Macaca fascicularis: one gene and its partners. The protein of the gene in region 1 interacts with the protein of each later gene in a biochemical or structural test. Links are inferred from orthologs where the notes say so. Each region holds a gene or a part of one and is shown in the gene's direction. Other genes may lie near its edges. The genes, in order: PRMT5, COPRS, RIOK1 and SNRPD1.

Evidence for each region.
Region 2: the proteins of PRMT5 (region 1) and COPRS form a complex in vitro, tested with the Homo sapiens proteins (3 studies listed by BioGRID, with this or other methods). The link is inferred for Macaca fascicularis from reciprocal best matches to the Homo sapiens genes PRMT5 and COPRS.
Region 3: the proteins of PRMT5 (region 1) and RIOK1 are reported together in a solved structure, tested with the Homo sapiens proteins (2 studies listed by BioGRID, with this or other methods). The link is inferred for Macaca fascicularis from reciprocal best matches to the Homo sapiens genes PRMT5 and RIOK1.
Region 4: the proteins of PRMT5 (region 1) and SNRPD1 form a complex in vitro, tested with the Homo sapiens proteins (2 studies listed by BioGRID, with this or other methods). The link is inferred for Macaca fascicularis from reciprocal best matches to the Homo sapiens genes PRMT5 and SNRPD1.

Annotation. Positions count from the first base shown.
Region 1 is NC_088381.1:90,668,704-90,676,868, reverse strand, and holds the start of PRMT5 (protein arginine N-methyltransferase 5), read left to right. Parts: upstream 1-194; 5' UTR 195-209; coding exon 210-319; exon of another isoform or gene 320-345; coding exon of another isoform or gene 346-404; intron 405-952; coding exon 953-1,071; intron 1,072-1,356; coding exon 1,357-1,442; intron 1,443-1,927; coding exon 1,928-2,062; intron 2,063-2,753; coding exon 2,754-2,866; intron 2,867-3,000; coding exon 3,001-3,050; intron 3,051-3,258; coding exon 3,259-3,422; intron 3,423-4,472; coding exon 4,473-4,634; intron 4,635-4,802; coding exon 4,803-4,880; intron 4,881-4,970; coding exon 4,971-5,029; intron 5,030-5,115; coding exon 5,116-5,238; intron 5,239-5,324; coding exon 5,325-5,500; intron 5,501-6,334; coding exon 6,335-6,444; intron 6,445-6,654; coding exon 6,655-6,748; intron 6,749-6,930; coding exon 6,931-7,047; intron 7,048-7,249; coding exon 7,250-7,314; intron 7,315-8,165. UniProt on the Homo sapiens protein: Arginine methyltransferase that can both catalyze the formation of omega-N monomethylarginine (MMA) and symmetrical dimethylarginine (sDMA), with a preference for the formation of MMA.
Region 2 is NC_088390.1:38,088,831-38,096,436, reverse strand, and holds the end of COPRS (coordinator of PRMT5 and differentiation stimulator), read left to right. Parts: intron 1-3,120; coding exon 3,121-3,339; intron 3,340-3,837; coding exon 3,838-4,007; 3' UTR 4,008-4,272; downstream 4,273-7,606. UniProt on the Homo sapiens protein: Histone-binding protein required for histone H4 methyltransferase activity of PRMT5.
Region 3 is NC_088378.1:165,586,159-165,593,806, reverse strand, and holds the end of RIOK1 (serine/threonine-protein kinase RIO1), read left to right. Parts: intron 1-358; coding exon 359-412; intron 413-1,712; coding exon 1,713-1,865; intron 1,866-4,517; coding exon 4,518-4,628; 3' UTR 4,629-4,880; downstream 4,881-7,648. UniProt on the Homo sapiens protein: Involved in the final steps of cytoplasmic maturation of the 40S ribosomal subunit. Involved in processing of 18S-E pre-rRNA to the mature 18S rRNA. Required for the recycling of NOB1 and PNO1 from the late 40S precursor.
Region 4 is NC_088392.1:68,133,439-68,141,965, reverse strand, and holds part of SNRPD1 (small nuclear ribonucleoprotein Sm D1), read left to right. Parts: intron 1-2,063; coding exon 2,064-2,140; intron 2,141-3,727; coding exon 3,728-3,919; intron 3,920-7,347; coding exon 7,348-7,424; 3' UTR 7,425-8,527. UniProt on the Homo sapiens protein: Plays a role in pre-mRNA splicing as a core component of the spliceosomal U1, U2, U4 and U5 small nuclear ribonucleoproteins (snRNPs), the building blocks of the spliceosome.

The DNA of each region.
Region 1 (8,165 bases):
AGATTGGTGGATCTTCAGGAGCCTCGCCGTACGCCACTGCGCAGCCCGCGGATTGGCGGGAAAAGCCACTCCCCATCCCTCCCGTTCGGGAGCTGTGGCAGACGCTCTGGTTGTTAAGGCGACTCGTCCCGCCTCCTGGGTCTCTAGTTTGGCTTTGTGATTGGCTACTAGTATCAAGGAATCCCGGCATGGACAGCGCGAGGAAAAAGATGGCGGCGATGGCGGTCGGGGGTGCTGGTGGGAGCCGCGTGTCCAGCGGGAGGGACCTGAATTGCGTCCCCGAAATAGCTGACACACTAGGGGCTGTGGCCAAGCAGGGGTGAGGGCCGGACCTCCACGAGCGGAATGCGGGGTCTGAACTCGGGGACGGAGAAGGGCAGACTAGTCATCCCGGAGAAACTGGGGTGAGGGGGTCGGCTAAGATGAGAAGGGGAGAGACTATTACTCTTTGGAGGGGAGAAGCCTCGGACCCAGTAACGTGAGGAAGAGAACTTGTGGGGGGCCTGTGGTCACTGAGTCCCAAAGTTGGGAGAGTTGTTGAGTAAACTCTAAAGGGCTCTGGAGGTCGCGATTATTGTCTGGGAGTGGGAGGAGGTGTTAGGGGGCAAGGGAGAGAAGAGGCTAATCTTGACAGGGGAGGCACGGGCAGAACTGGGGCAAATCTGGATGTGATGGTCTTCGAAACATAGTGACACCTGAGGAGAAAAAAATTCTACTTGTGGATTTCCATCGTTTTCTCCTTACTCATATTTCCCATGGCTGTGTTTTGGGGAGAAACTGAGGCACAGTACAGCAGAGATATCCCCCAAGGTGGTCTGAACTCAGCAGCCTAGTAGGGTGAACTGATGGCAGCTGAAAGGGCTGTGCAAAATCAAAATAGCCTAAATCCAGTTGCTTGGCTTTCTGGCACTGCTGCTCTCTTTACATGATTCTGGGTCTGTCGCGGTTGTAGGTTTGATTTCCTCTGCATGCCTGTCTTCCATCCGCGTTTCAAGAGGGAGTTCATTCAGGAACCTGCTAAGAATCGGCCCGGCCCCCAGACACGATCAGACCTACTGCTGTCAGGAAGGGGTAGGGACCATCCCATATGCCCCTTAATTATTAGAGGCAATAACAACTTCTGCTTTATCGGGGCCCCGATTCTTCTCCTTTTCTGACTTGGATATATTTGTTAGTCCCTGGGATATAGATAACTTGTTTTCTCCTTGCTTCTCTATTCTGCATCAGGCTATCCCATGTCTATGTAGAAAAAACCTTTGTCTCTCATTTCTACTCTTGATTCCCAAAACTAAAAATTGAACAAGTAAAGTGCTGAACCTTATTCAGTATTTGTCTCTCTTGGGTGGGGGAGTGCAGACTGGAATACGCTAATTGTGGGAAAGCTTTCTCCATGGATTCGTCCAGACTCAAAAGTGGAGAAGATTCGCAGGAACTCCGAGGCGGTAAGACTCTTTGACTTCTATGCTGGATCTTTCTAACCAAGCTGGGTAGGGAGAGTGGTCCCCTCCCACCCCCAATAACTTGGTAAATCAACTGATACAATGAAATTAAAGCTATTAGGCTGGACCCCATGGTGCACACCTATGATCCTATCACTTTGGGAGGCTGAGGTTGTAGGATCACTGGAGCTCAGGAGTTTGAGACCAGCCTGGGCAGCATAGTGAAACCCCATCTCTATAAAATATACAAAAATTAGCCAGGCATGGTGGCACATTCCTGTGGTCCCAGCTACTCAGGAGGCTGAGGTGGGAGGATCAGTTGAGCTTGGGAAGGTTGAGGCTGCAGATGAGTGGAGATTGTGCCACTGTACTCCAGCCTGGGTGACAGAGTGAGACTTTGTCTCAAAAAAAAAAAAAAAAAAGAAAAGAAAAGAAAAGAAAGCTATTTGCTTGTTAGCTCAACCTTTTCCTCTTCATCTCCATTCCAGGCCATGTTACAGGAGCTGAATTTTGGTGCATATTTGGGTCTTCCAGCTTTCCTGCTGCCCCTTAATCAGGAAGATAACACCAACCTGGCCAGAGTTTTGACCAACCACATCCACACTGGCCATCACTCTTCTATGGTATAGCTGAGGGGCTCCTTTCCTGCTGCATATCATAGTAGTCAGATTGTGCTAAGTACCTTCTTGTGCCTAGCCATTCAGTGAAGGGTGTGTTTGGCAGAATTGAAGTATCAGTATTGCCGGGCACAGTGGCTCATGCCTGTAATCCCAGCACTTTGGGAGGCTGAGGTGGGCAGATCGCTGAGCTCAGAAGTTCGAGACCAGCTTGGGAAGCCTGGTGAAACCCTGTCTCTACAAAAACCAAAACCAAAACAAAAAAACACAGATTAGCTAGGTGTGGTGTCACACGCCTGTAGTCCCAGCTACTTGGGAAGCTGAGGTGGGAGAATGACTTGAACCTGTGAGACGGAGGTTGCAGTTAGCTGAGATTGCACCACTGCACTCCAGCCTGGGTGACAGAGCCAGACCTTGTCTCAAAAAAAAGGTCAATATTGCGCACCTCTCCATCTAAAAGTGGTATGAAGAGAGTTTCAAAACATGCAAATGTAATTATTTCGGAAACTTACGTAAGATAAGGCAGATATTTACATAAGGATCTATACATAAGGTACATGTTCACTTACAAAATCACAAATTGGGAAAAGCATATAAAGGGATTAGCGAGGTCTGAATGAAGTTTTTGATTGAGGGAAACTTTCTGGACCGAGTGAGTTCAAAAGGGTGTTCTAAAAGGGTGACTGTTCATGTGCAGTTCTGGATGCGGGTACCCTTGGTGGCACCAGAGGACCTGAGAGATGATATAATTGAGAATGCACCAACTACACACACAGAGGAGTACAGTGGGGAGGAGAAAACATGGATGTGGTATGTCTCCCTTTGCTGCTGTGATAGGGTGAGGGGAAGTACAGGGTGAAACCTATAGGGAGGTCTCCTTGAGCTATGGTGATTGGTCGGCCGTATCTAGTTGACTGTACTTTTCTGTATTTGACTCTGAACAGGTGGCACAACTTCCGGACTTTGTGTGACTATAGTAAGAGGATTGCAGTGGGTGAGTCCATGAGAATCCTGGGTTGGGTGTTGCTTCTCTGACCTCCTGTGAATAAGATTCAGGAATTTTGTATATAGTATACAATTTTACTACTTACCCTCTGTCTCAGACTGCCTTTCTCTTAAAGAGGTAAACAGATTTTTCACAAAGGAGCAAGGAAGGGTTTCTTGCCTGGCAGTGGTTGACAGTTTTTCTTTGTCTCATGTAGCTCTTGAAATTGGGGCTGACCTCCCATCTAATCATGTCATTGATCGCTGGCTTGGGGAGCCCATCAAAGCAGCCATTCTCCCCACTAGCATCTTCCTGACCAATAAGAAGGGATTTCCTGTTCTTTCTAAGATGCACCAGAGGCTCATCTTCCGGCTCCTCAAGGTGAGTGGTAGGAGGGTTCTAAAGGTGGTCCAGCTATACATCTTGCCTTATTTACCTGTGTATGATCGTTTTTTCCTGTGAGGCTGACTCTTTTTCTTTGGTTTCTGGGGAGCAATTTCAGTGAAGTTGGGAGTCTTGAGAACAAAAAGATAAATGCCAGTAATAGCCCTAGAAACCTTTCAAAACAAACCAAACCTCATGAGAACTTTGCAGAAGGTTTCATTTAGGAAGTTACAGCAAGGATCCATGAGGCTCTTTGGGTGTTGATGATACTTTTATGGCATAAGAGGGCTTTTCTTTTCTTTTCTTTTTTTTTTTTGAGACAGAGTCTCACTCTGTCACCCATACTGGAGTGCAGCGGTGCAAACTCAGCTCACCAGAACCTCTGCCTCCCAGGCTTAAGCGATTCTCCTGAGTAGCTGGGATTATAGGTGTGCACCACTACTACCCGACTAATTTTTGTATTTTTAGTAGAGACGGGTTTTACCATGTTGGCCAGGCTGGTCTTGAACTCCTGACCTCAAATGATCCACCTGCCTCAGTCTCCCAAAGTATTGGGATTACAGGCGTGGGCCACCACACCCGGCCAAGAGGGCTTTTTACAAGTTTACTGAGGCCTCATGCTGCCTTTGTTGGTATTGGAACAGATACTAGAGAACTGTTGGTCTGGGCCAGGCACAGTGGCTCACGCCTGTAATCCTAGGACTTCGGGAGGCTGAGGCGGATGGATCATCTGAGGTCAGGAGTTTGAGACCAGCCTGGCCAACATGGTGAAACCCCGTCTCTACTAAACATACAAAAATTAGCCAAGCCTGGTGGCACGCACCTGTAGTCCCAGCTACTTGGGAGGCTGAGGCAGAAGAATTGACCCTGGGAGGTGGAGGTTGCAAGTAAGCCAAGATCACGCCATTGCACTCCAGCCTGGGCAACAGAGCGAGACTCCATCTTTAAAAAAAAAAAAAAGGAGAGCTGTTGATCTGGGCCATATTTTACACTGGGCCCCGAATCTTGGTTTGCGGGCTGTATCTGATAGTCTGACTTTTCTTACAGTTGGAGGTGCAGTTCATCATCACAGGCACCAACCACCACTCAGAGAAGGAGTTCTGCTCCTACCTTCAGTACTTGGAATACTTAAGCCAGAACCGTCCTCCACCTAATGCCTATGAACTCTTTGCCAAGGGCTATGAAGACTATCTGCAGTCCCCGCTTCAGGTGGGTCTGGAGTGCACTGAGAGTAGGAAGGTGGGGTGAAAATGTATCTTGAGAATATATGCCTCCAAATGTTACTAAAACTCAGAAAGCAGTGGAAAGTTTTTGATATTTTAGTGCATTGTCCTTTGCCAGAAACTGGCTAACTTTATCCTTTTCCTCATTCATCAGCCACTGATGGACAATCTGGAATCTCAGACATACGAAGTGTTTGAAAAGGACCCTATCAAATACTCTCAGTATCAGCAGGTACTGTGTGGTATGCAGGGTGAGGAAAGCACAGGGCTAGCATGACCTAGGGAGATTGGGATTACAACCATAGGATATTCTCTCCTCCAGGCCATCTATAAATGTCTGCTAGACCGAGTACCAGAAGAGGAGAAGGATACCAATGTCCAGTGAGTGCTTTCCCCTCAATCCCAGGGACTTGCATATCTACATCTGTATATGCCAAGTCTGCTTGACTCTTCCCTTTCTTTGTTAGGGTACTGATGGTGCTGGGAGCAGGACGGGGACCCCTGGTGAACGCTTCCCTGCGGGCAGCCAAGCAGGCTGACCGGCGGATAAAGCTGTATGCTGTGGAGAAAAACCCAAATGCCGTGGTGACGTGAGTAGCAGCCTGCTTGCTAGGAAGTTAGTCCCCATTGCCAAATTTCCTTAACATGTCTCCTCACCTTATTGTCTCTGTTTCAGGCTAGAGAACTGGCAGTTTGAAGAATGGGGAAGCCAAGTGACCGTAGTCTCATCAGACATGAGGGAATGGGTGGCTCCAGAGAAAGCAGACATCATTGTCAGCGAGCTTCTGGGCTCATTTGCTGACAATGAATTGTCGCCTGAGTGCCTGGATGGAGCCCAGCACTTCCTAAAAGGTGCACCCAGGTTGGGGTGTAGGTGGAGGGTGATGATGGATGAGACATCTACCTGGGAGGAGGGTACAGGGTTTAGGGGAAAGTGAGTTGGACCTGGGTCACATCATATGAGTTTGAGAGCTATTGCTCCACTGCCTCTGTGCCCTTAGCAAATGAAGTCGTCTCTTCAAACCTCAGTGTTCATATTTGTAAAATGAAGGGAGTGGGCCAGGTGCTGTGGGAGGCCAAGGTGGGAGGTCAGGAATTCGTGACCAACCTAGGCAACATGGCAAAACCCTGTCTCTACTAAAAATACAAAAATTAGCCAGGCGTGGTGGTGCACGCCTGTAATCCCAGCTACTCGGGAGGCCGAGGCACGAGAATCGTTTGAACCCGGGAGGAGAAGGTTACAGTGAGCCAAGATTGTGCCACTGCACTCCAGCCTGGGCAATAGAGCGAGACTCCGTCTCAAAAAAATAATAATAATGAAATAAAAAATAATGAGGGGAATGGACTCCTTGAGCTGACGTATGTACCCTGAGCTTAGCTTTCATCAGGAACTTTTATGGGACTTTGTGACCCCACAAAAGTTAAGAACTACCAGATTAGACTATCTTGGGTTCTTTCAGTTTTTATCTGTGTGACTCTGTAAATTAACCTAGAAGTGGAATCATCCGTGACAGTAGTTGGAAGGCTGGCTTAATAATGTGACAACATGCATTTGTCTCTTTCTTCCATGCCCATGCCAACGTTGGTTGGTTTTGACATGGGAGGTTTGATCCTTCTGATCCTTCAGTTAGTACAGACACACCATTTCCCTCCCTCTGGAACTAATTTGACTCTCCTGCTGTGCAGATGACGGTGTGAGCATCCCCGGAGAATATACTTCCTTCCTGGCTCCCATCTCCTCCTCCAAGCTGTACAATGAAGTCCGGGCCTGTAGGGAGAAGGACCGTGACCCTGAGGTAAAAAAACACTCTCTGGAAAGAAGTGGTACTCTTCAGTCCTCTTCTTTTTCTGTATTTGCATCAGCTATTTTCTTCTGCTGGGGATGAAGAGGCGAAGAAGTTAGGGATTGGGGAAGCACTAAAGTAAAACTTTTTTTAATCCTTGGGGAAGTAGGTATCTCCTGTCTGTCTTCCCCAACACTCTCTCTCTCTCCTTGTCTCTGACAGGCCCAGTTCGAGATGCCTTATGTGGTACGGCTGCACAACTTCCACCAGCTCTCTGCGCCCCAGCCCTGTTTCACCTTCAGCCATCCCAACAGAGGTAGATTCTTTTATGACTGTCCTCTGACTAGAGGGGTGTGGGCTTCTTCCTTCCTCCTGCTTTCTTCCCTTGCTGTCCCTAGTCTGCCTTATCTACTCTTCCCTTCCTGGGTCTTGCTCATGGTTTACCAGGTTGTCTAGAGCTTCTGGCCCCTTGTCATCCACATGATTATTTCCTGACAGATCCTATGATTGACAACAACCGCTATTGTACCTTGGAGTTTCCCGTGGAGGTGAACACAGTACTGCATGGCTTTGCAGGCTACTTTGAGACTGTGCTTTATCAGGACATCACTCTGAGTGAGTGTCTATGGCAGTGGATGGCAGAGTATGAGGGTGTGCTGCCTGGGCAGCTTATATGTACATGTGTCATTTAGATTTATGGGGGGCCCAGTACTCAATGAATGGAGATCTTTGTGTGATTAGAGAAGAGACCCTCTTCAACATAGGCTAAAGGCACAGCCATGGAGACTTCTGTTTTTTCATTATTTTGTCCATACAGGTATCCGTCCAGAGACTCACTCTCCTGGGATGTTCTCATGGTTTCCCATCCTCTTCCCTATTAAGGTAGGAACTGCTTTTAAGACTCTGTAGGTTAAGGAGTAACTTTTGCCTTTGGTGTTGTGCCTCTTTCCTTCTCCCAGGAAGATAGTTGACTATATGACTCATATTCTCCTGATTTCATATGCTCTTGGATCCCAGTGGTAGGTGTTGGGAGTATTTGGAGTGGCCTTCTGCCTGGCTTTCCCGCATCTATTCTGGCTACCCTTCTGTCCTCTACTTTGAGCAAGAGCCATCTTTTAAACACTCAAATTTGATCTTATCTCTCTCTTTCTCTCTTTTTTTTTTAAAGAGACAGTCTCGCTCTGTCACCCAGGCTGGAGTGCAGTGGTGCAATTTCGGCTCACTGCAAGCTCCGCCTCTCCAGTTCATGCCATTCTCCTGCCTCAGGCTCCCTAGTACTTGGGACTACAGGTGCCAGCCACCATGCCTGGCTAATGTTTGTGTTCTTAGTAGAGATGGGGTTTTACCGTGTTAGCCAGGATGGTCTGGATCTCCCAACCTCATGATCCACCCGCCTCAGCCTCCCAAAGTGCTGGGATTACAGGCGTGAGCCACTGCGCCTGGCCTGATCTTACCTCTTTTTTGCTTAAAACCTTTCAATGCCTTCCCATTGTCTTTAGGATAAAAGTCAAAATCTGGAACATTGCTTGTAAGACTTGATGTGATCTAGTGTTTGCTTGCCTTTGCAGCTCCTGTCCCCTTGCTTACACTGCTTCAGCCTTATGGACCTTCTTTTGGTTCTAATTGTCGATCTTCTTTCCTACCTCAGGCTTTCATGCCTCTCTTTTGCCTGCAGAGCTCTTTGCTTGTCTCTTCACACCGTTAACCTATCTTCTAGGTCTCCTTTAAACATT
Region 2 (7,606 bases), on another chromosome or scaffold:
CAGGCATATGCCACCATGCCCGGCTGATTTTTGTATTTTTAGTAGAGATGGGGTTTCACCATGTTGGCCAGGCTGGTCTTGAGCTCCTGACCTCACGTGACCCATCTGCCTCAGCCTCTCAAAGTGCTGGGATTACAGGTGTGAGCTGCCGTGCGGCCCCTTTTTTTTTCTTTTTTTTTTTGTTTTTTTTTTTTGAGATGGAGTCTCACTCTGTCACCCAGGCTCACTGCAACCTCTGTCTCCTGGGTTCAAGTGATTCTCGTGCCTCAGCCTCCTGAGTAGCTGGGATTACAGGCGCACACAACGGTGCCTGGCTAATTTTTGTATTTATTTATTTATTGTTTGAGACAGAGTCTCGCTCTGTCTCCCAGGCAGTGGTGCGATCTCCGCTCACTGCAAGCTCCGCCTCCCAGGTTCATGCCATTCTCCTGCCTCAGCCTCCCGAATAGCTGGAACCACAGGCACCTGCCACCATGCCTGGCTAATTTTTTGTGTTTTTAGTAGAGACAGGGTTTCAGGATGGTCTCGATCTCCTGACCTTGTGATCTGCCTGCCTTGACCTCCCAAAGTGCTGGGACTACAGGCATGAGCCACCACGCCCAGCCTAATTTTTGTATTTTTAGTGGAGAGGGGCTTTCACTGTGTTGGCCAGGCTGGTCTCGAACTCCTGACCTCAGGTGATCTGCCCACCTCGGCCTCCCAAAGTATTGGGATTACAGGTGTGAGCCACCACGCCTGGCCCTTTTTTTTCCTTTTAAAGTAACTCTCACAACAACCCTATCTTCATTTTACAGATGTGGAAATTGAGGCACAGAATAGTTAAATAAAAACAATTTAAAAATTGTGGTAAAAGATACCTAACATAAATTTACCATTTAACCATTTTACAGCATATAATTCAGTGGCCTTTTAGCACAATGGCAGTGTTGTGCAACCATCACCAGTACCTAGTTCCAGAATCTTTTCATCACCCTAAAAGGAAACCCTGTGCTCACCAAGTAGTCATTCTCCATTCCTTCCTTCCCTGAGTTCTTGGCAACCACTAATTTGCTTTCTGTCTCTGTGGATTTATCTATTCTGGATAGGCAAATGTGAGTTGCCTGTAAATGGAATCATAACAACATGTGCCTTTTGTGTATGGCTTCTTCCACTTAGCGTATTTTCAAGGTGCATCCATGCCATAGCATGTATCAGCACTGCATTCCTTTTTATGGCTGAATAATTCCATCATACGCATATACCACATTTTGTTTTCCCATTCATCCATTGATGGACATTTGTGTTGTTTCTCCCTTTTGGTGATTGTAAGTAGTGCTGCTGTCAGTATCCTTGTTTTATTTGAACACCTCTTTTCAGTTCTTTTGGGTATATGTTTAGGACTGGGATTGCTGGGTCATATGGTAATTCTGTATTTATGTTATGGAACTAGTTAAGTAAATTTCAGCTCAGTCACACTTTTTTTTTTGTTTGTTTGAGACAGGGTCTCACTCTGTGCAATGGCACGATCTTGGCTCACTGCAGTCTCTGCCTCCCAGGCTCAAGTGATCCTCCCACCTCAGCCTCCTGAGTAGCTGGGATTACAGGTGAATGCCACTGCACCCAGCTAAATTTTTTGAAGTTTTTGTAGAGACAAGGTTTTGCCACATTGTTCAGGCTGGTCTTGAACTTCTGAGCTCAAGCAGTCTGCTTGCCTCGGCCTCCCAAAGTGCTAGGTTTACAGGGGTGAGGTACCACGCCCTGCCCAGTCCCATGTTTAGTACTTGGCAAAACAGGGATTTGAAACCAGGCAGTCTGGCTTTAGACCCCTTGCTCTGAACTATCACTTTATTGCTTATCACTGTTACTGTTGTTCCAGTATTAAGAGCATGGCTGTTTTAGGCTGATTGCCTTCTCTCCTGGGACCTGGCATCACCAAAGCACTGTGCTCGGAAATCCATTATCTTTCCCCAGTCTTTCCTCTCTTATTGTGAGACCTTTTGCAAATGTACCTTCCAGCCTCCCCACTGTCAGAAGGAGGCACTAGGTGCTGCCCATTGTAACTAGACAGGCTCTGGTCTGTCTGCAGTGCCCCTGCTCTCCTTTGTCCCTGTGCTCACCTCTAACATGCTCTTTGAGGCTGAAGGGAGGAATAAAAGAGCAAAAACGGCCGGGCGCGGTGGCTTACGTCTGTAATCCCAGCACTTTGGGAGGCTGAGGCGGATGGATCACAAGGTCAGGAGTTCAAGACCAGCCTGGCCAAGATGGTGAAACCCCATCTCTACTAAAAATACAAAAAAATTAACTGGGCATGGTGGCGGGCACCTGTAATTCCAGCTTCTCAGGAGGCCGAGGCAGATAATTGCGTGAACCTGGGAGGTAGAGGTTGCAGTGAGCTGAGATGGCGCCACTGCACTCCAACCTGGGCTACAGAGTGAGACTGTCTCAAAAAAAAAAAAAAAAAAAAAGCAAAATCTTAATTCAAGCTTGTATTGTGAAAGCGTATTATTTATCAGAGGCCCTTTGCCTCAGTGACAGACATGCAAACCACCTGAAAATGTTAACTGTCCCTAGCTCTCTTTGTAAATTAAAGGACCTGGCAATTAATGGTCTTGTATAAGACAAAACATCTTATTGAAAATAAGTTGGCCGGGCGCGGTGGCTCAAGCCTGTAATCCCAGCACTTTGGGAGGCCGAGACGGGCGGATCACGAGGTCAGGAGATCGAGACCATCCTGGCTAACACAGTGAAATTCCGTCTCTACTAAAAAATACAAAAAACTAGCCGGGCGAGGTGGCGGGCGCCTGTAGTCCCAGCTACTTGGGAGGCTGCGGCAGGAGAATGGCGCAAACCCGGGAAGCGGAGCTTGCAGTGAGCTGAGATCCGGCCACTGCACTCCAGCCTGGGCGACAGCGCGAGACTCCGCCCCCCCCCCCAAAAAAAAAAAAAAAAAAAAGAAAATAAGTTATCAGGTCTTTTAAAAACATACACAGAAGAGCATTTTTTAAAAAGTGCTCAGGTGGCGAAAGAAGACTCTGTGTACTTGCTTTACTACCTTCCTAGTAAGTCTGCCCAAAATTGACTGAGCACACAGCAGGTCCTCTTTGGTTTGTCACTAAGGCCATCTTCTCTTTGTCAATTTAGCCCGTGGAGCACAGAGCGTCCCTAATGACAGTCCTGCCCGGGGTGAGGGCACCCATTCTGAAGAGGAAGGTTTTGCCATGGATGAGGAGGACTCTGATGGAGAACTGAATACCTGGGAGCTGTCAGAAGGGACAAACTGTCCACCCAAGGAACAGCCTGGTGATATTTTTAATGAGGACTGGGACTTGGAGTTGAAAGCAGATCAAGGGAATCCATATGGTAGGTGTAGAGTCTCTGGGGGTCCTGAACCAGGCCTTCTCAGACACACCTGTCAGACTAGCGCTGAAGGCAGACAGTTTGGAACAGGGGTCCACATCTATGAGCTTAGGCTGGTATCTGTTACAGGTCTGCAATTTCTGTGACACCTCTTTTATATTGAAAAAAATACATTTGACTTCGTAATGTATCACTGTTTTAACATCAAAACTGTCACTGTCTCCAAAAATGTCTGCTATGAATTGAGCAGCTGCAGATAGAAGTGCTGTGTTATCCAGTTTGCTTCCTCTCCACTGCTAAGAACCCTTGTCTGAGAAGCACAGCTTCTCAGCTGTTCAGAATGAATGCATTTACAATTCTTCAGGAAAGGAGAACTGTGTGTGTTTTTAAACAAAATAAGTGCAAGGATCTGTCCCCTAGGCATACTTTGTGGCTGTCCATTTTTACCTTCCTTCCTTCCCTCCTTCCTTCCCTTAATCTGTCTTTTAAAACTGCCTGCAGATGCTGACGACATCCAGGAGAGCATTTCTCAAGAGCTCAAACCTTGGGTGTGCTGTGCCCCACAAGGAGATATGATCTATGACCCCAGCTGGCACCATCCGCCTCCACTGATACCCCATTATTCCAAGATGGTCTTTGAAACAGGACAGTTTGACGATGCTGAAGATTGAGTGTGGAGCTTTCTGCCTTGTAGGTGGGCGGGCCTCCACGTCAAGATCTCTTTTCCTGTCTTGGAGGTGAAAAGTGGTATCTGAGAAAACGTTCTCAGTGACCCCTAGTCTGCAGTACACAGACTAGTTCTTTATTGAACAGTGTTCAATAAGGCCCCGTCGTTCTCCCCAGTCTGTTGTTGTTACTAATGGGCTCCTCCTTGGAATGTGTATGTTTGTGTCAAGAGGAGTTGTGTTCTTTGTAAATAAAGGTGAAAAAAAGAAACTAGTATGCTTCGTCTGCTTTTTTCCCATTTATTTATTTATGGAGACAGTCTCACTGTGTCAGCCAGGCTGGAGTGCAGTAGCACAAACTTGGCTCATTGGAACCTCCACCTCCTGGGTTTAAGCGATTTTTGTGCCTCAGCCTCCCGAGTAGCTGGGACTGTAGGTGCATGCCACCACACCCGGCTAATTTTTTGTGTTTTTAGTAGAGACGGGGTTTCACCACGTTGGCCAATCTGGTCTTGAATTCCTGGCCTCAAGTGATCCACCCACCTTGGCCTCCCAAAGTGCTGGGATTACAGGTGTGAGACACTATGCCCAGCCTTCACTCCTTCATTTAAAGTCCCTGAATGACGTTTTAAAGATTGAAACGCTTGGAGGCTTAAAACTACTTTGTGAAAGAAAAAAAAATTGCCAGGCGCAGTGGCTCAAGCCAGTAATCCCAGCACTTTGGGAGGCTGAGACGGGCGGATCACGAGGTCAGGAGATCGAGACCATCCTGGGTAACATGGTGAAACCCCGTCTCTACTAAAAAATACAAAAAACTAGCCGGGCGCGGTGGCGGGCGCCTGTAGTCCCAGCTACTCGGGAGGCTGAGGCAGGAGAATGGCGTGAACCCGGGAGGCGGAGCTTGCAGTGAGCCGAGATCCGGCCACTGCACTCCAGCCTGGGTGACAGAGCGAGACTCCGTCTCAAAAAAAACAAAAAAAAACAAAAAAAATTTAGTTTTGCTTCTGTAGATCTGGCACTGTTGACCAAGGATTGAAATCCAAGAGACATTGGTGATTTTGTAGCTGATTGTTTTCCTGTTGGTAGAAAATGGAACATTTACTTAGTTAACAGGCTTTTCCCTAGGCTGAAAACTAAATGGGAAATTAGTTAAACCAGCAATTGCATAATCCTTAATTGACACTAAACTCAGTTTTCCATTTAATATTTTAATCCTTCCTTATGTGAAGTCTCTTAAAAATTTACCTCATTTTGGCTGGGCACGGTGGCTCACACCTGTAATCCTAGCACTTCAGGAGGCTGAGTTGGGCGGATCACCTGAGGTCAGGAGTTCAAGACTAGCTGGCCAACACAGAGAAACCCTGTCTCTACTAAACAAAAATTAGCCAGGTGTCATGGTGCACACCTGTAATCCCAGCTACTTGGGAGGCTGAGGCAGGAGAATTGCTTGAATCTGGGAGGCAGAGGTTTTGGTGAGCCGAGATCACGCCGTTGCGCTCCAGCCTGGACAACAAGAGTGAAACTCCATCTGCAAAACAAAACAAAACAAAAAAACCCCCAACTTTACCTCATTTTAGAGATAAGGAATGCAAGACTCAAAGTTTTGACCAGGCCGGGCGTGGTGGCTCACGCCTGTAATCCCAGCACTTTGGGAGGCTGAGGCGGGTGGATCACCTGAGGTCAGGAGTTGGAGACCAGCCTGGCCAACACGGTGAAACCCCGTCTGTACTAAAAATACAAAAATTAGCCAGGTGTGGTGATGGACGCCTGTAATCCCAGCTATTTTGGAAACTGAAGCAGGAGAATAGCTTGAACCTGGGAGGCAAAGGTTGCCGTGAGCCATGATCATGCCACTGCACTCCAGCCTGGGCAACAGGGCAAGACTCCGTCTCAAAAAAAAAAAAAAAAAAAAAAAAAATGTTTTGACCTCTTCAAGATCACACAGTGAGCAGCAGAACTGGGACCTAGATGCACATGTGACTCTGAGGTCCATTTTTGGCCCTGCGTGTGTGAGAAGATAGCACCATCTGGGGCCACGCCTTGGCAGGTCTGGGATCCATTAGAGTAAGTCACCTTTGTGTCTGACGGACTCAGGGATTGTTTCTTCCTGCCTCCTTACTGAAGCTGACTCAAGAAAAGCTTTTAGATGTGAAATTTTAGTCTACTCTTTAGCAGTTAATTGAGCATTTAACCATGTAAACATTTTCAAAGGCCCCACAAGGTGTGTGAACAAGGCAGAACCTTGTGAGGGAATGCAGTGGCTTTGGCGGTGAGGGGAGTCATGGCCAAGGCTGTCGTAGGGAGGAAAAAAATGCCCCTTCCGCTGTCTTTGTTAAAAGGGCAGTTGTGGGCCGGGCGCGGTGGCTCAAGCCTGTAATCCCAGCACTTTGGGAGGCCGAGACGGGTGGATCACAAGGTCAGGAGATCGAGACCATCCTGGCTAACACAGTGAAACCCCGTCTCTACTAAAAAATACAAAAAACTAGCCGGGCGAGCTGGCGGGCGCCTGTGGTCCCAGCTACTCGGGAGGCTGAGGCAGGAGAATGGCATGAACCCGGGAGGCGGAGCTTGCAGTGAGCTGAGATCAGGCCACTGCACTCCAGCCTGGGTGACAGAGCGAGACTCCGTCTCAAAAAAAAAAAAAAAAAAAAAAAAAAAAAAGGGCAGTTGTAGATCATATCACCACATCCCCCTTTCTTCCTCCTTGCAAGGTCATAGATGATGAGACCATGAGTATGTCTGACATGAAAAGGTAAACTTGAGAAACAGAGCCAAGAGATATTAGGGGTTTGAGGAGGATGGCAGAATTGCTGAAATGTCATGTTATTGAAAGGTTGTGTTGGCCCATGTGTGAGCAGGAGTTATGAGGCAGCTGAAACTATGAGTAAAGGCGGAAGTTGTGAGTTGGGGTATTATATATATAGGGGGGCGGGAGGGAGAGAAGAAAAAAATAGTATGAAGAACATATGTGCATGAGTAGCTAAGTAAAGAAAATTCACACAGCGTTGCTGCTGTGATCCGTGGAGGAGTTGTGAATCTAGGCCTGTTTTGCTATTTATTTATTATTTATTTATTTATTTATTTATTTATTTATTTATGAGACGGAGTCTCACTCTGTTGCCCAAGCTGGAGTGCAGTGGCATGGCCTCGGCTCAGTGCAAGCTCTGCCTCCTGGACTCACGCTGTTCTCCTGCCTCAGCCTCCTGAGTAGCTGGGACTATAGGCACCTGCCACCATGCCTGAATAATTTTTTGTATTTTTAGTAGAGACGGGGTTTCACCCTGTTAGCCAGGATGGTCTCGATCTCCTGACCTCGTGATCCACCCACCTCTGCCTCCCAAAGTGCTGGGATCGCAGGTGTGAGCCACTGTGCCCAGCCATTTATTTATTTATTTAGAGATGGAGTTTCACTTTTGTTGCCCAGGCTGGAGTGCAGTGGCACTATCTCAGCTCACTGCAAGCTCCGCCTCCCGGGTTCACGCCATTCTCCTGCCTCAGCCTCCGGAGTAGCTGGGACTACAGGCGCCCGCCACCGCGCCCGGCTAGTTTTTTGTATTTTTTAGTAGAGATGGGGTTTCACTATATTGGCCAGGCTGGTCTTGAAC
Region 3 (7,648 bases), on another chromosome or scaffold:
GGGCGCCTGTAATCCCAGCTGCTCAGGAGGCTGAGACAGGAGAAACTCCTGAACCCTGGTGGCAGAGGTTGCAGTGAGCCAAGATCATGTCACTGCACTCTAGCCTGGGCGACAAAGCAAGACTCTGTCTCAAAAAAAAAAAAAAGAACAACTATGAGGTGGCTGGTTGGATTTGGCCAGTAGATCTGGTAGACAGAAATAATATAAACTTTCTGTGTTACAGTGAGATTAATTTTAGATACCTTTGTATAATCATAGGAGATGTTATTTAACCCACATTGTTCTTAGTAGTACAATATGCATATTTCATTGTCTAGTTTTATGTTGATCCTTATTTTTTTTTCCTTTTGGTTATAAGATTCTATACCAAACTGTCACTGGATTGAAGAAAGATTTGTCAGGAGTTCAGAAGGTATGAAGAACATGTATTACTGTTCGTTTATGTGAAAACACTTATAAAGGATATAAAACTCTAGTCATATTATTTGTTTTTATTATTTAATATTATTAGAACTAAATTAATGCTATTTTATATTGTTAAAATTTTATAGTTGCTTTCAAAGTCTGTGGACATCTTCAGAAATGCCATTTTTATGTTCTTTCTAAACATAGCACTGAAATTTGGAAATTATTTTTCTGTCTCTGAATTGTTCTGTAATTGCAGGTGAGGTATTTATCTTTTTGTATTCTAGTTGTCATTTGTGGAGTTATTAATGATAGCCATTGTGCTTCTTGATGGTTTTTACAACCAGCTTAGGAAAACTGTGGAATGTGGTCTCCTACCAGGATATTACTTGTTAAAGAACAATCTCATGAGTTCAGCAATCCTGCTGTGCTGGATTCCTGTAATGTTCTTTTTTCTTAAAACAATCTTGTTTTGTTTTACATTTTAGAAGGACAGGGATTAAGTAATTCTAACTTAGGCAGTCATAAAAGCAGTCTTTATTTCTTCAAATCTTCCTAATTGAAGACTTAAAGGATCACAGTTTGCTTTCTTAAAATCATGTCTTTTCTGTGGAAAGAATTGAATTAGGGGAATTCTGGTATTTTGCATTTCTGAGTTATAATAACAGGTGTCATAAGGAAGTTATGCTTTGGATTCCAGAGCATGAAGATTTTATTGCAGCAAGCTAGAAAATCTTGTACAATTGACTTCTAAAGATCTGTTTTTTTCCTTATAAAAAGGAAACCTCACTCTTAAAAACTGCTGGGAAGCACTGTATTAGACAACTGCTAAATTTCAGGAAGTAGTGAAAATTTCTCTTCTTTGAATATTGTTTTCCCTCTCAATTTGATTAGTTTATTGCTAGAAATGTGGTTCACAGGAAAACAGCTGTGAAGTTATCCGTATAAATCTTTATTTTCTACCTCTATGTATATTTCGCCTCCTTCCCAGTCCCAACTAAATGCCCCTGATCAGCTGAAAGAAGCAGAACGGTTTTGTCGTTGGTCTAGGTCACGCAGTAAAACCCTGGTTCCTTCATTTGGGTATGTTCTTGAGCCTTACTTGGAGTGGCTACTTTCATATTTCCCTCCTGATGTTCATTCTGGTGTTTTAATGTTTCAGTACAGGATGTTAGTTTTTAACATGTATTTGCGAGCCTAAAATCTGAATTCTGGCATTAACACATTTAGCAACAACACATAACTTGGTTTATGTGTTGTTTAGAATTACATGGTTTAGAATAACATGGTTCTTTAATAATTTCAAGGTCCCTGCACTCCTAGAAAATCAAGTGGAGGAAAGGACTTGTTCTGATTCAGAAGATACTGGAAGCTCTGAGTGCTCTGACACAGACTCTGAAGAGCAGGGAGACCATGCCCGCCCCAAGAAACACACCACGGGCCCTGACGTTGATAAAAAAGTAAGCAATGAGATACATTCCCCTTTTCTTTAGTGTGGGAGCACAGCGGCTCTTGTTTCTCTTTGCTCAAGGATCTAGCTAGATTGTGATGGCTGAAAACATTATTGATAAGTACCTCTAATTACAGTTTTAATACCTAAGTGTGAACTTGACTTTTGGTGGTAACGTTATCTCAAGATTGGACTGCTCATCGGAGCACCTTGGGCATTGCCTAGAGAGAGCACGCACTAAATTCCGTACATTTCGTATGAAGTACAAGTGATGTTAGAGTTGACTCAGGGTAAATACTGAAGAGCCATTTCAGGGGGACTTATAGCCCAGCTTGATGTTTCTGGAATCTGAAAGACTGTATAATAGTCCCCGCTTCCATGCTTTCACTTTCTACTGTTTCAGTTCCCAGCAGTCAGCCTTGGTTTGCAAATATTAAATGGAAAATTCCGGAAATAAACAATTTATAAGTTTTGAATTGCTCACTGTCCTAAGTAGTGTGATGAAATTCATGCTGTCCTCCTCCATCCTGCCTGGGATGTGAATCACCACGTGGTCCAGCGTCTTCACACTGTCGACACTCCCCACCCATTAGTCATTTAGTAGTCTTCTTGGCTATCGGTTCAGCTGCTGTGATGTTGTGGTGCTTGTGTGCAAGTAACCCTTACTTTGCTTAATAATGTCCATAAATTACAAGAGTAGTGATGTTGGAAGTTCAGGTGTGCTTTAGAGAAGCCATAAAGGTCTTCCTTTAAGTGGAAAGGTGACCATTCTTGACTTAGCAAGGAACTCATGCCTGTAATCCTAGCACTTTCGGAGGCCAAGGAGGGCAGATCACTCCAGACCAGTCTGGGCAACAGAGTGATACCCTGTCTGTTAAAACATTGGTGATGAGCACCTGTGGTCCCAGATACTTGGGAGGTTAAGGCAAGAGGATCCCTTGAGCCCAGAAGTTTGAGGTTCTAGTGAGCTGATCATGCCACTGCACACCAGCCTGGGTGACAGAGTGAGATTCTGTCTCAAAAAAATAAATAAGAAAAGGAAAAGAATCATATGCTGAAGTTGCTGAGATCTATGATGAGAATCTTTTATCCGTGACACTGTGGAGAAGGAAAAAGATGTTTTTGCTGGTTTTGCTATCTCACCCCAAACTGCAAAAGTTAGGGCCATAGTATGTGATAAGTGCTTAGTTAAGATGGAAAAGGCATTACATTTGTGGGTGAAAGATGTAAACAAAAACATCTTCCAGTTGACCACACCATGTTGCACCGGAAAGCATTGAGCCTATACGAAGGTTTCAAAGGTTTCAGCAAGAGTTCCCCTGAAATGAGTGACACCAGGCCATTTACTGTAAGGAACAGTTAAACAGATTCAGGAATAGGTTTGGACTAAAAAACAGAAAAATTACCAGAGAGGCTGCATCTGCCAATGAATAAGCTACTGTCACATGAGTATGATACTGTGGGATATGTTGAGAATGAGAAAGACCACATTCAAATAACTTTTATTATAGTATATTGTTACTATTCTATTATTAGTTATTATCTCTTACTGTGCCTAATTTATAAATTAAACCTCATCATAGGTATGTATATATAGGAAGAAACATAGTATATATAGGGTTTGGCACTATCCACTGTTTTAAGCATCCACTGGGGGTCTTGGAACATATATCCCCCATGGATAAGAAGGGACTCTTGTATTTCTTTAATTGCTAGCCATAGACATAAGAGACACTGCTGACTGAATGCTATGTAACTATTATTATTCCATCTTAGTCTAATCCTTTAAACCATATACAATGTGGGTCCCAAGACTTCTGAGGGACATACTCAGCTGCTAGCATATTTTCTCGTATGTCTACTAGAAATACATATTTTGTCTCTTTCCAATGTCTGTTTCTGTTAGAATATGGAACTTGTAAAGAAAAGTATTTGCAAACATTTAATAACATTCTTAGGGATATTTCTGTTTGGCTGTCTTCACATTTCTATTAAGGAAGCTCAAGGCCAGTTATGGTGGCTCATGCTTGTAGTCTCAGCTACTAGGGAGGTTGAGGCAAGAGGGTTGCTTGAGCCCAGGAGCTTGAGGCTGCAGTGCACAATGATCCTGCTACTGCCCTCCCGCCTGGGTGACAGAGTGAGTCCCTGTCTCTAAAAAGAACAAGCTCAAAGACAATTTTCACCCCAAGTTCTCCACCAACCCATAATCATTTTCTTTTCTTTGTTTTACATTACACTCACTTTTATTCTTCTGTGTGTATATTTTATTTAGTTATAATAATAAGAAGAATACTGCAGGTGGGTGCAGTGGCTCATGCCTGTAATCTCAGCATTTTTGGAGATTGAGGTGGATGGATCACTTGAGCCCAGGAGTTTGAGACCAGCCTGAGCAATCTGGTGAAGCCCCATCTCTACCAAAAAATACCCAAAAAAACCTAGCCAGGTGTGGTGGTGTGCGCCTGTTGTCCCAGCTACCCAGGAGGCTGAGGTGGGAGGATTGCTTGAGCCCAGGAGGTGGAGGCTGAAGTGAACCATGATCATACCATTGCACTCCAGCCTGGGCGACAGAGCAAGACCCTGTCTAAAAAACAAAAAAACAAAAAACAAAAAAAATGCATACTCCAAATGAATGAAATTTGGCTTTTTTGTTTGCTTTTTACAGGAAAGAAAAAAGATGGTCAAGGAAGCCCAGAGAGAGAAAAGAAAAAACAAAATTCCTAAACATGTGAAAAAAAGAAAGGAGAAGACAGCCAAGACGAAAAAAGGCAAATAGAACGAGAACCATATTATGTACAGTCATTGTCATCAGTTACTTTTCTCGCCTGAACTCTAAGCTGCGTCTGGAAGATGGCTTATTGATTTTAACCAAATTGTCATCATGTCTGTCTGTGAAGACGGATTCAGTGTTTTCATGTAATTATGTAAAAAACTCTAAGCTCTAGAGTCTAGATCCAGTCCCTGACTCTGGTGTTGACAGAGGATTTATTTAAGCTATTATTTTAATAAAGAACTTTGTACATTTTTATTTTTATATGTTTTTCTCTTACAAATATGTTTTCAGAAGCATGATAAATATTTAAATGTCAATATCTATAACTCTTACGTGAGTGTCCAGAGGCACTCATGGGAAAATTGGTTTTGCTTTCTTTGTACACACCAGAGACCCATCTGAGGTCATCTGATTATAAGGCCATGTTTATGTAAAGGGAATTTCACTCACAATTCAGCTGGCTGTTGATTTAATCATTCACTGCAACTCTGCTCTTGTGTATATTGGTGATCATTTGTAATGCTCTTACACTTCATCTTTAATGTTCTTTTTGGAGCTAGGACCTCTCAGTTCATCAAGTTTTTTACATTCAATCATTTGGCATATTCATTCATTCATCAAAAATTTGAGTATTTTAGTTGCTGGGGATACAGCAGAAAACAAACTAGGCAAAAATTACTACCTTTGAGTAGTTTACATTTTGATAGGAAGATAAGACATTAACCAAAATAAGTAAAAAGTGGTGTATCAGCAGATGATAAATTATATGGAGAGAAATAATGCAGAGATGAGAGGGCGCCTATTTTGCAGGAGTTTGCAGTTTAAAATAGGGTTCCTGGAAAGGCCTTACTGCGGGCCGATACTTGAGCAAATACTTGAAGAAGGTGAATCGTGTGCATAACAGGAAGGAAGAACATGCCAGGCAGAGCAACCAGCAGTTGCAAAGCCCTGAGGCAGGAGTGTACGTGACAACTTCCAGAAACAGAGCTGAGACATCATCATCAAGGGAGAAAGTAGTCGATGCAATCAGATAGTGTATGGCTGTGGGAGGGTTTTGGCAGGGAGTGATACGATCTGACTTCTGTTTTAAAAGGATTACTCTGGCCTCTGTGGAGAATCGACCAGGAAGCAAGGGTAGGAGACCCGTGGGTATGTTCATTGAAGTAAACCCAAGCAAGAGACACTGATGGCTTGGTATAGGATGGTGGCTGACATGAGAGAAGCGGTTGCACGTTCTAAGGGAAGAGATGAGATTGCGAGGAGTGAAGGGTGACTTCAGGGTTTCTGACCTGAGCAGCCAGTGAGATGACTGGAGCTGCCACTTACTGTGATGGGAAAGACTGTGGGTGGGAGCAGGGTTGGGGAGGGTAGGAGGGTGAGATAAAATCTTACACTGCAACATAGCACAGATACTAAAAGAAATTACCATATAGTTTTTTTAATGGTACATTTTATGTTAGAAGTGACTATTGTAGTCATTGCATTTAGAAATAATTTCCAAAAACCAACCCCTAGTTTTCACTGAAACTGAAGTTCAGTCCTGCTTATTTGACTGGGTTATTGGGGGAAATCATTTGAGCTCTTTATTGTGTTTATTTTGACTTTAAAGTTCAACATGTGAAATATAATTTCAATGAAACACAGAAATAATCCCTGTGAAATAGTCTACAGTTAGCACAATGAAAGAAAAAGCAAAAGCAGACATGAATCCTGCACACCTCTGGGGAGTTTATCTTCAGGATCTTCCAGTTCCTGTGTTTGTTTCGGTCTTACTCTCTGACATGGTATGTTTGCCTCAGGAGGTCAAGCTCCTCAGCGCTATCTTTTGCTGAATCACGCAGTTTCCAAGCTTGGAATCAGTGCCATTTGGCCAGATGTAGCAATGGCAGGATTGTGGGGCAGTTCATTCTCTTACATTGCTACTGGGAGGAAGTGACTTGTAAAACATCAAGAGTTGGTCATGAAGATTCTAACCTGGGAAAAGCTTTTTTGATACCCCTCTCGCTGATACGGCCGTATCCTTGTTTGGATTCTGGGTCGTAAGGCTGTGGCTGGTTTAGCCACTCATCGTATTCTTGCCAACCTTGCCTGAAATTATTGTCCTCATCAGAAGGCTTAGAAGGAGCCTAATCTTAGGCAGACAACTAGCAGGGCTGCTTGCTGACTTTGATAACAATTGACTTTTGATTGTTTGGCAGGTTTTAGGTTAATGGATTATTGGTTGTACAGTTACTTTCTATTTGGAAAGGTGAAATTTGGGTCTCTTGGCCCAAAGCTGGGGACAGTATTTTGTTGGTTGTAGTTATATCTGATTTCATATGTTGTTGATGATTCTCATTCATCAAAATAATGCAGATGTTTCTAAAAGTTTACTATGAGAAATCTAGATAACTTCTTTGAAGCACAAAATGACAGCTCTTTCCTATGCTGCTATCACTCATTCTTCCTTTGATAAACCTGTTTAGGAATAGAACGTTTCTCAGCCGGAAAGTACCACCATTTCTTTTTTGTTTTTTGTTTTTGTTTTTTTGAGATGGAGTCTCGCTCTGTCACCCAGGCTGGAGCACAGTGGTGCGATCTTGCCTCACTGCAACTTTCACCTCCCAGGTTCAAGTGATTTTCCTGCCTCAGCCTCCCGAGTAGCTGGGATTATAGGTGCCCGCCACCACACCTGGCTAATTTTTGTATTTTTAGTAGAGACAGGGTTTCACCATGTTGGCCAGGCCGGTCTCAAACTCCTGACCTTAGGTGATCCACCTACCTCGTCTCCCAAAATGCTGGGATTATAGGCGTGAACCCCCACTCCAGGCCAGCACCACCATTTGAATGTGGTCTTTTAGTGGAGAAATGAGAATGGTGGCAGATCTTTGCCCAGGTCTGTCTGATCAAGTATGAATCCATGGTTCTTGGCTAACATCAGGTTTTCTTCAGCTTTATCACTAACTTGATGAAGACAGATCCAAGATGTTGAAAAACTTTATAGCTTGGCACTAAGAGTTGTTGAGATCTTTCGTTTTCATGAG
Region 4 (8,527 bases), on another chromosome or scaffold:
GCCTCAAGCAGTCATCCCACCTTGGCCTCTCAAAGTGGTGAAATTACAGGCATTAACCTCTGCACTGGCAATTGACAATATTTGTAAACCCTTCAACTTTTCTTCCTCTGCAAAATGTTATAAAAAGGGGAGAACAGAAATCTAGATGAAGTAAGAAGTGGATAGTTTGTTCATTATATATTATCAAGGCAACTGGCTATTCAGTTGGGGAAAGTAATAAAGACAGATTTGTGCCTTACACTGCATAAAAAAAGATCAATTCCAAGTAGATTAAAACTCTAAAAGTAGAAGAAAATAAGATACTATCTTTTACAATCTTGGCATAGAAAAAACCCTTTCCTAGGCAAATTATGTATCCCAGGAAGATGAACAGATTCAAAACATAAAAGTGAAAAAAGTTTGTGTGACTAAAGAAACCATAAACCACAAACTTGAATGACTGGCAAACAAGTAGAAAATAAAAGAAAAACTCAACCTAATTGAGAATATGTAAATAATGTGAACAGGTAATTCACGGAAGAAATAATTTTCCCATATTAATGAAAAGATATTCAGTCTCACAAGTAATTAAGGAAAAACAAATTCCCCCCGCCATCAAATTCACAAAAATTTGAAAGACTTAACAGCAACTTGTGTTGGTGAGGGTTTGCATAATTGGGTTTGTAATGGGAAAAAATTGAACCAAAGTAATGTCCATCAACAGGGAGGTAATAAATTTTGACATTTCCATATAGTGGAATACTTTTCAGTTCTTAGAATGTTATTTTGTTATTTTGTTATTTTTTTATTTTTTTGAGACGGAGTCTCGCTCTTTCGCCCAGGCTGGAGTGCAGTGGCGCGATCTCGGCTCACTGCAAGCTCCGCCTCCCGGGTTCACGCCATTCTCCTGCCTCAGCCTCCCGAGTAGCTGGGACTACAGGCGCCCACAACCGCGCCCGGCTAATTTTTTGTATTTTTAGTAGAGACGGGGTTTCACCGTGGTCTCGATCTCCTGACCTTGTGATCCGCCCGCCTCGGCCTCCCAAAGTGGTGGGATTACAGGCGTGAGCCACCGCGCCCGGCCTATTTTGTTATTTTGGCTTTTTTTTGAGATGGAGTCTTGCTCTGTCGCTCAGGCTGGAGTGCAGTGGAACAATCTCACTCACTGTAGCCTCTGCCTCCGGAGTTCCAAGTAGCTGGGATTACAGGCGTGCTCCATCATGCCTAGCTAATTTTTTTTTTTTTTTTTTTTTTTTGAGATGGAGTCTTGCTCTCTCCCCAGGCTGGAGTGCAGTGGTGCGATCTCAGCTCACTGCAGCCTCTGCCTCCCAGGTTTAAGCAATTCTCCTGCCTCAGCTTCCTGAGTAGCTGGGATTACAGGCGCATGCCATCCTGCCCAGCTGATCTTTGTGTTTTTATAGAGATGGGGTTTCACCATGTTGGCCAGGCTGGTCTTGGACTCCAGACCTCAGATGATCTGCCCACCTCGGTCTCCCTAAGCGCTGGGATTACAGGCATGAGCCACTGTACCCAGTCTCAGTTCTTAGAGTGTTTTGTATGTTGAAATGGGAATATGTCCAATATAAACTGCTGAACGAGAACTACAAGTTACAGATGTGAATAAAATATGACCCAATTTATGTAAAAAGAAATCTGTATATATGCTTATGAATGTGCATATAAAATGATCTGGAATAATATTCCTACATACCCACAGTGCAGGGGGTTAGGAAGGGAGATTTTTACTTTATGTATAAATATTGTAATAAACTTGTAATCTTTTTACCAACTGTAATTCTTTATTTATTTTTCATGATTTATGAGTCTGAGATCTTGTATGTCTGGATTTGAGGTTTGAGAATTAGAAACGTCCAAATGACAGTTCATTTTAGTATTGTTGTGTTCCTTCATAAAGGTTGAGGATATGATTCAGGAAAGCTGAAATTGTTAGCATATTCTTGATAGGAATTGATGCAGATAGCATCTACAAATTTTCAGCGTCTAGTTGTTTCATCTTTTTACCTTAATAAATGTGATTTTAAAGTGTTGCAGGTAAAAATTAATGGTTTTATTCCTATTTATAGATTTTTGATGAAATTGAGTCATGAAACTGTAACCATTGAATTGAAGAACGGAACACAGGTCCATGGAACAATCACAGGTACGGAGGTTGGACTACTTTTATAACATTTTTTTCTTCTCTTTTACCTGCTATCCAGAGTTTATTTTTTGATTGCTTAATGAACGTTATTGTAGTACAGATTCTTATTCTTTTGTCTGAATTATGTAATTGATTGATTGATTGATTTTTTTATTTATTTATTTTTTTTTGAGACGGAGTCTCGCTCTGTCGCCCAGGCTGGAGTGCAGTGGCGCGATCTTGGCTCACTGCAAGCTCCGCCTCCCGGGTTCACGCCATTCTCCTGCCTCAGCCTCCTGAGTAGCTGGGACTACAGGCGCCCACAACCGCGCCCGGCTAATTTTTTGTATTTTTAGTAGAGACGGGGTTTCACCGTGGTCTCGATCTCCTGACCTTGTGATCCGCCCGCCTCGGCCTCCCAAAGTGCTGGGATTACAGGCGTGAGCCACCGCGCCCGGCCTATTTTTTTTTTTAAACAGAGTTTTGCTGTGTCACCTGGGCTTGAGTGCAGTGTCATGATCTCGGCTCACTGTAACCTCCGCTGCCTGGGGTCAAGCAATTCTTTTGTCTCAGCCTCCCGAGTGGCTGGGACTACAGGTGCCTGCCAGCATGCCTGGGTACATTTTTTTTTTTTTTGAGACGGATTCTCACTCTGTTGCCCAGGCTGGAGTGCAGTGGCACAGTCTCAGCTCACTGCAACCTCCGCCTCCAGGGTCTGATTAATTTTGGTAGAGATGGGGTTTTGGTCTCGAACTTGTGACCTCATGATCCATCCGCCTCGGCCTCCCAGAGTGCTGGGATTTCAGGCGTGAGTCAAGTCACTGCACTGGCCTAATTTTTGTATTTTTAGTAGAGACGAGGTTTCAGCATGTCAGCCAGGCTGATCTTGAACTGGACCGGGCTGGTCAGAAGACCTCAGTTGATCCGCCCGCCTCGGCCTCCCAAAGTGCTGGGATTACAGGCGTGAGCCACCAAACCTGGCCTAAGTAGGTCTTTAGTTATCCCATTAGTTCAGGTATAATTTGGTAAAGGCTTCAGTATTCAGGTGTTTCAGCTATAATGTCATATAATCACCCTAAAAAATTGCTTTGTATTTTGTAAACTCTCATACTAAAAATAGTAGCTTAATGAGAAGAATAGGTGTTGCAGACTACTTAAAAGCCTGTGTAACTTTGTAATCAAAATATTCTTAACAAAAGTGGTAACAATTATTACATATAGAGAGAAGCAGAAACAAAGGTGAGGATAGTTTAGTGGAATGGGGATTATGAGAAAGTCACAAAGACAGTGAGAGAAACATTCAAGAAATACCTGTCAGATCAGTAGTGAGCCTGAAGCCCAGTCAGGGTTCTTCCATTGCTTGCTGCATTCATTTCTGTAAGCAAAACTTAGTGTGCTAGGAAAAATCTCTAGGAAGGAAACACTGCTGATTTATACTGACGTTATTCCCCCATTTACCAGTTGCATATGTGCTAAATTATGTCATAGAAAACTTGCACTGTAGCAGAACAGTATTCTTTTGTAGTCCAGTATTTACTGTGGCTCAGTAGATTAATTAGTTGCCTGACTTTTATCATACTAATAACTGCCCAATTATTTTCTTTTTAGGTGTGGATGTCAGCATGAATACACATCTTAAAGCTGTGAAAATGACCCTGAAGAACAGAGAACCTGTACAGCTGGAAACGCTGAGTATTCGAGGAAATAACATTCGGTATTTTATTCTACCAGACAGTTTACCTCTGGATACACTACTTGTGGATGTTGAACCTAAGGTGAAATCTAAGAAAAGGGAAGCTGGTAAGTTTGAAGGATTATAAAAATTTTTGTGAATGCTAATCCTAATCCACACTATTCATAATATAAATATTTGCAAACAACACAAGTGTCTTTGTTTTTTAATATTTCTTATAATGTGTATTATAACTCCTGGTGTTGCTATTAAAAACATTGATGCGGCTGGACACAGTGGCTCACGCCTGTAATCCTAGCACTTTGGGAGGCCGAGGCGGGCAGATCATCTGAGGCCAGGAGTTCCAGACCAGCCTGGTCAACATGGAGAAATCCCATCTCTACTAAAAATGCAAAAAAAAAATTGGGCGTGGTGGCGCATGCCTTTAGTCCCAGTTACTTGGGAGGCTGAGGCAGAAGAATCACTTGAACCCGGGAGGCGGAGGTTGCTGTGAGCCAAGATCATGCCACTGCACTCCGGCCTGGGCTACAGAGTGAGACTCTGTTTCAAAATAATAATAATAATATGGTTGTAATCCATAGCTTGTAAAACAATGATTTAACCTCTCATGCTGTGTATCATGCTGCTTTCCACTTTGCAAGAACCCCCTGTGGGTACCAAAATCTACAGATGCTCAAGTCCCTTTTCATAAAATGGTAATAGTGTTTCCATCTAACCTCTGCACATCCTTTTGTACACTTGTAATACCCAGTATAATGTAAATGCTTTGTAGATAGTTATATTGTATTGTTTAGGCGTTAATGACAAGAAAAAGTCTGACAACCATCATAGGCCTAAAGTTGGTTAAATCCATGGATGTGGAACCCATGGATATTGAAGGCTGACTGTATTTTCAAATCTGAGGACTTTTTGCCTTAATGTCTTTAGGGTTATTCTACTTTTACTACCTACCTACCTGTGAGGGAATTGATGATTGAAAGCCCCCTGCCTCGTATCATCTTACTCCACGCTGAGAAGTTATTCTTCCTTTACTAAATGTTACAGTTCCAAGTCTATTTTCTGATTTAAAATTTTGTTGAAAAAAATTTTTTTGTTTTCTTTTTTTTTTTTTTTTTTAGATGGAGTTTCACTCTTGTTACCCAAGCTGGAGTGCAGTGGCGCGATTTCAGCTCACTGCAACCTCCGCCTCCTGGGTTCTAACGATTCTTCTGTTTCAGCCTCCCAAGTAGCTGGGATTATAGGTGTGTGCCACCGCACCCAGCTAATTTTGTATTTTTAGTAGAGACGGGGTTTCATCGTGTTGATCAGGCTGGCCTCATACCCCTGACCTCAAGTGATTTACCTACCTCAGCCTTCCAGAGTGCTGGGATTACAGGCATGAGCCACCACGCCCAGCCGAAATCTTTTATCTACTATGTTTTCTCTGCTTTTCTTTGTTCTTCTGGGTACTTACCGTTTTTGTTCCTTTTCTATCATAAATACTATTTCAGAAGAAATTGGAGATAAGTGTGGTCAATTTGGTTCATTTTAACATGCGTCCTAGACTTACTGTTTTTGTGTGTACACATTTAAAATAATATAGTTTAAAATAACTGAAATTGGCTGGGCGCGGTGGCCCATGCCGTGAGCTGAGATCGTGCCATTGCACTCCAGCCTGTGCAACAAGAGTGAAACTCTGTCTCAAAAAAATAAATAAAATTATTTATGCCTGCCCCCCACCCACTCCCCACTTCTTAAAAAGTTGTTTTCTTAATTTATCTTTCTTTTATACAGATATGCACCACCAAATCTGGCTAATTTTTTAATTTTTTTGTAGAGACAGGGTCTCCCTGTGTTGTCCAGGCTAGTCTTGAACTCTTGGTCTCAAACAATCCTGCTGTGGCCTCTCAAAGTGCTGGGATTACAGGTGTGAGCCACCATCATACCTGGTCCATTTTCTTTTCTTTTTATTTCTTTTTTTTTTTTGAGACAGAGTCATGCTCTGTCGCCCAGGCCTCACTACAACCTCTGCCTCCCGGATTCAAGTAATTCTCCTGCCTCAGCCTCCCGAGTAGCTGGGATTACAGGTCCCCAGCCCTTTTATTGTTGTTGTTGTTGTTGTTTTTTACAACACTGCTCCAACTCTGTTTTTCCCCCCAATTTAACACTTCATTTTGAAATAATTTTAGACACAAAAAGTTGCAAAAATAGTACAAGGAATTCCCATACACTTTCACCAACATTGCCTAAATGTTAAAATTTCATGTAACTACAAAAAATAGAAATTTTATATTGATGCGACACTATTATATTATCTAGAGACCTTTTTCACGTTTCTCTGATTGTCCCTCTAATGTCCTTTTCCTGGTCCAAGATCCAATCCAGTACAACAGGTTGCATTTAGTTGTTCGTTTCCTTAGTTTCTTTTAATGTGTATCAGCTGGTTCCTTTTGTGACCTTAACACTTTGTAAGAGTACGGGCCAGTTATTTTGTGGAATGTCCCTTAATTAGCATCTTAAACTCACTGTTTATTGCTTGGAATGGTAAGACTAGAATCAGCGTGTACAAATTTCTAATGTGGCCAGGTGCGGTGGCTCACACCTGTAATCCCACCACTTTGGGAGACTGAGGCTGGAGGATTGCTTTGGTCCACGAGTTTGAAAGCAGCTTGGGCAACAAAGGGAGACCTCATCTCTACAAAAAATTAAAAAATTAGCCAGACCTGATGGCTTGTACCTGTAGTCCCCGCTACTCAGGAGGCTTAGGTGGGAGGATCACTTGAGCCCAGGAGTTCAAGACTGCAGTGAGGTGTGATTACACTGCAGGCTGGACTACAGAGAGAGACCTTGTATTTAAAAAAAAAAAAAAAAAAAGCAAAACATTTAGAATGTAACTGACTTCTGTGTCAGGATTTTCTAATATTCTTAGCTGTCTGAAGATGAAATAAGTTTATTTGGGTGATAAATTCCCTGTCACCATGATACTCAACTAGAGTTAGGATGACCCAGTGACAGGGATATTGCTATATGGATTAAAGCACTAGATTATGTGTAGGTCAAAATAGTTTCAATTTTCTGAAGAGTTAATAAGATTGTGATTTGATGTAATAGATTTAAACTTCCCTGGTTTTGAATTAACTTGCTTGGATTTTATTCAGTTACCAAAACTCTGGCATCAAGGTGATCGTGTTCTATTCTATGATATGTATCTTCCTTTTTTTGTGAGATTCAAATCATTTTATGGTGAATTTGAGACATGATATAAAGAAAAATTATTTTTTTAAGTTTGACACATTTCTTAGTAAATAAATTGAAATGAAACAAATAATAATCTCCCTAGGCCTTTAGTTCTTGGTTCTGCATGATAATGTGTTGTGGGGTGGGGAGAATCTGAAGTCTAACACATTTAACAGAAGCTAGTTAAACTTTTATTTACTGTAGCTGCTAATACAGAGCTATAAACGGGGAAAGGTGTGTGTGTAAATGTTGTTTGTGGTGTCTCGGTAACATTTGTGCAGAAGAGAATTGAGCTTGGTTTGTTTTTCTTTTCCTTCAGTTGCAGGAAGAGGCAGAGGCAGAGGAAGAGGAAGAGGACGTGGCCGTGGCAGAGGAAGAGGGGGTCCTAGGCGATAATGTCTCTCAAGATTACTGTTTCAAAGTCATACGGGATTTGGGATATTTTTTGTACAGGTTGTGTTTGTTTATGTCAGTTTTTAATAAACATAAATGTGGGATAGAGCTGTCTATTTAGTATATCAAAGTTTTAGTAGTTTCCTCCACATTCACAAAATTACCACAGTGAGAGCTAAGCATTTCTACTGGGCAGTTTCATTTTTAGATGATCAGATTTTAAGTTTTTCAACTAAAATTTTTCTTTTTATGATGAATAAGGTTAAAAGAAAAGCTTTAGACAAATTTAGTTTGGCAGAGTTTAATTGAGCAAAGGACAATTCACAAATCAGGTAGCCCCTGAAGCATAATAGGTTCAGAGGCTTCAGCCCAGCTGTGTAGTTGATGCAGATTTGTGAACAGAAGGAAAGTGATGTATGGAAAATGAAAGTAAGATACAGCAACAGCCATATTAGTTACAGTTCAGTGTTTGCCTTATTTGAATATGGTTTGAACAGTTTGCTGCCTTTGGTTGGCTGAAACTTAGTGATTGGCACGAGAGTAAGGTACAGTCTGTTTACACATCCAGTTAGGCTACAGTTCTATGTACTGAGAAACCTTTAAGCTGAACTTGAGATATGTAAAGAGACTTTAGGCTAAACTTAACAATACATATAGAATATATACCCTTTTACTTGACATGCACTAAATATGCATTTTACTGCTGACTTCATTCTGTGGCACCTACCCACAGGGGAAATAAGAAGTTCGTTTTGGTATTTTGGAAACTAAAGTCCTTATGGGATGGGGTCTAGAATTGATTCTCCTTTCCTGAGTTTTACTCTACGGAGTCTTAGGTACCTGGTAAAAAGTTGTCTTCTAAATTAAGGGTTATTGCTTTGTTGTCTAGCTGCTAATGTGTCACTTTTTTTTCTTTTGCTTTTTAATCAGTTCTTAGTAGGATATAGTTTTATGTTTTCCAAGTTGAAACTTGGAGTTAATGGTCACTAGATTAGCAGTTATGAGCCGTGTTAAAATCTCCTGTTAATGTGTAGTGTACCTGTCGGTGCCTCCTTTGTTAAGGGGTTCTTTGAGAGCAAAAGAGAAAAGACCTACTTTATTTGACA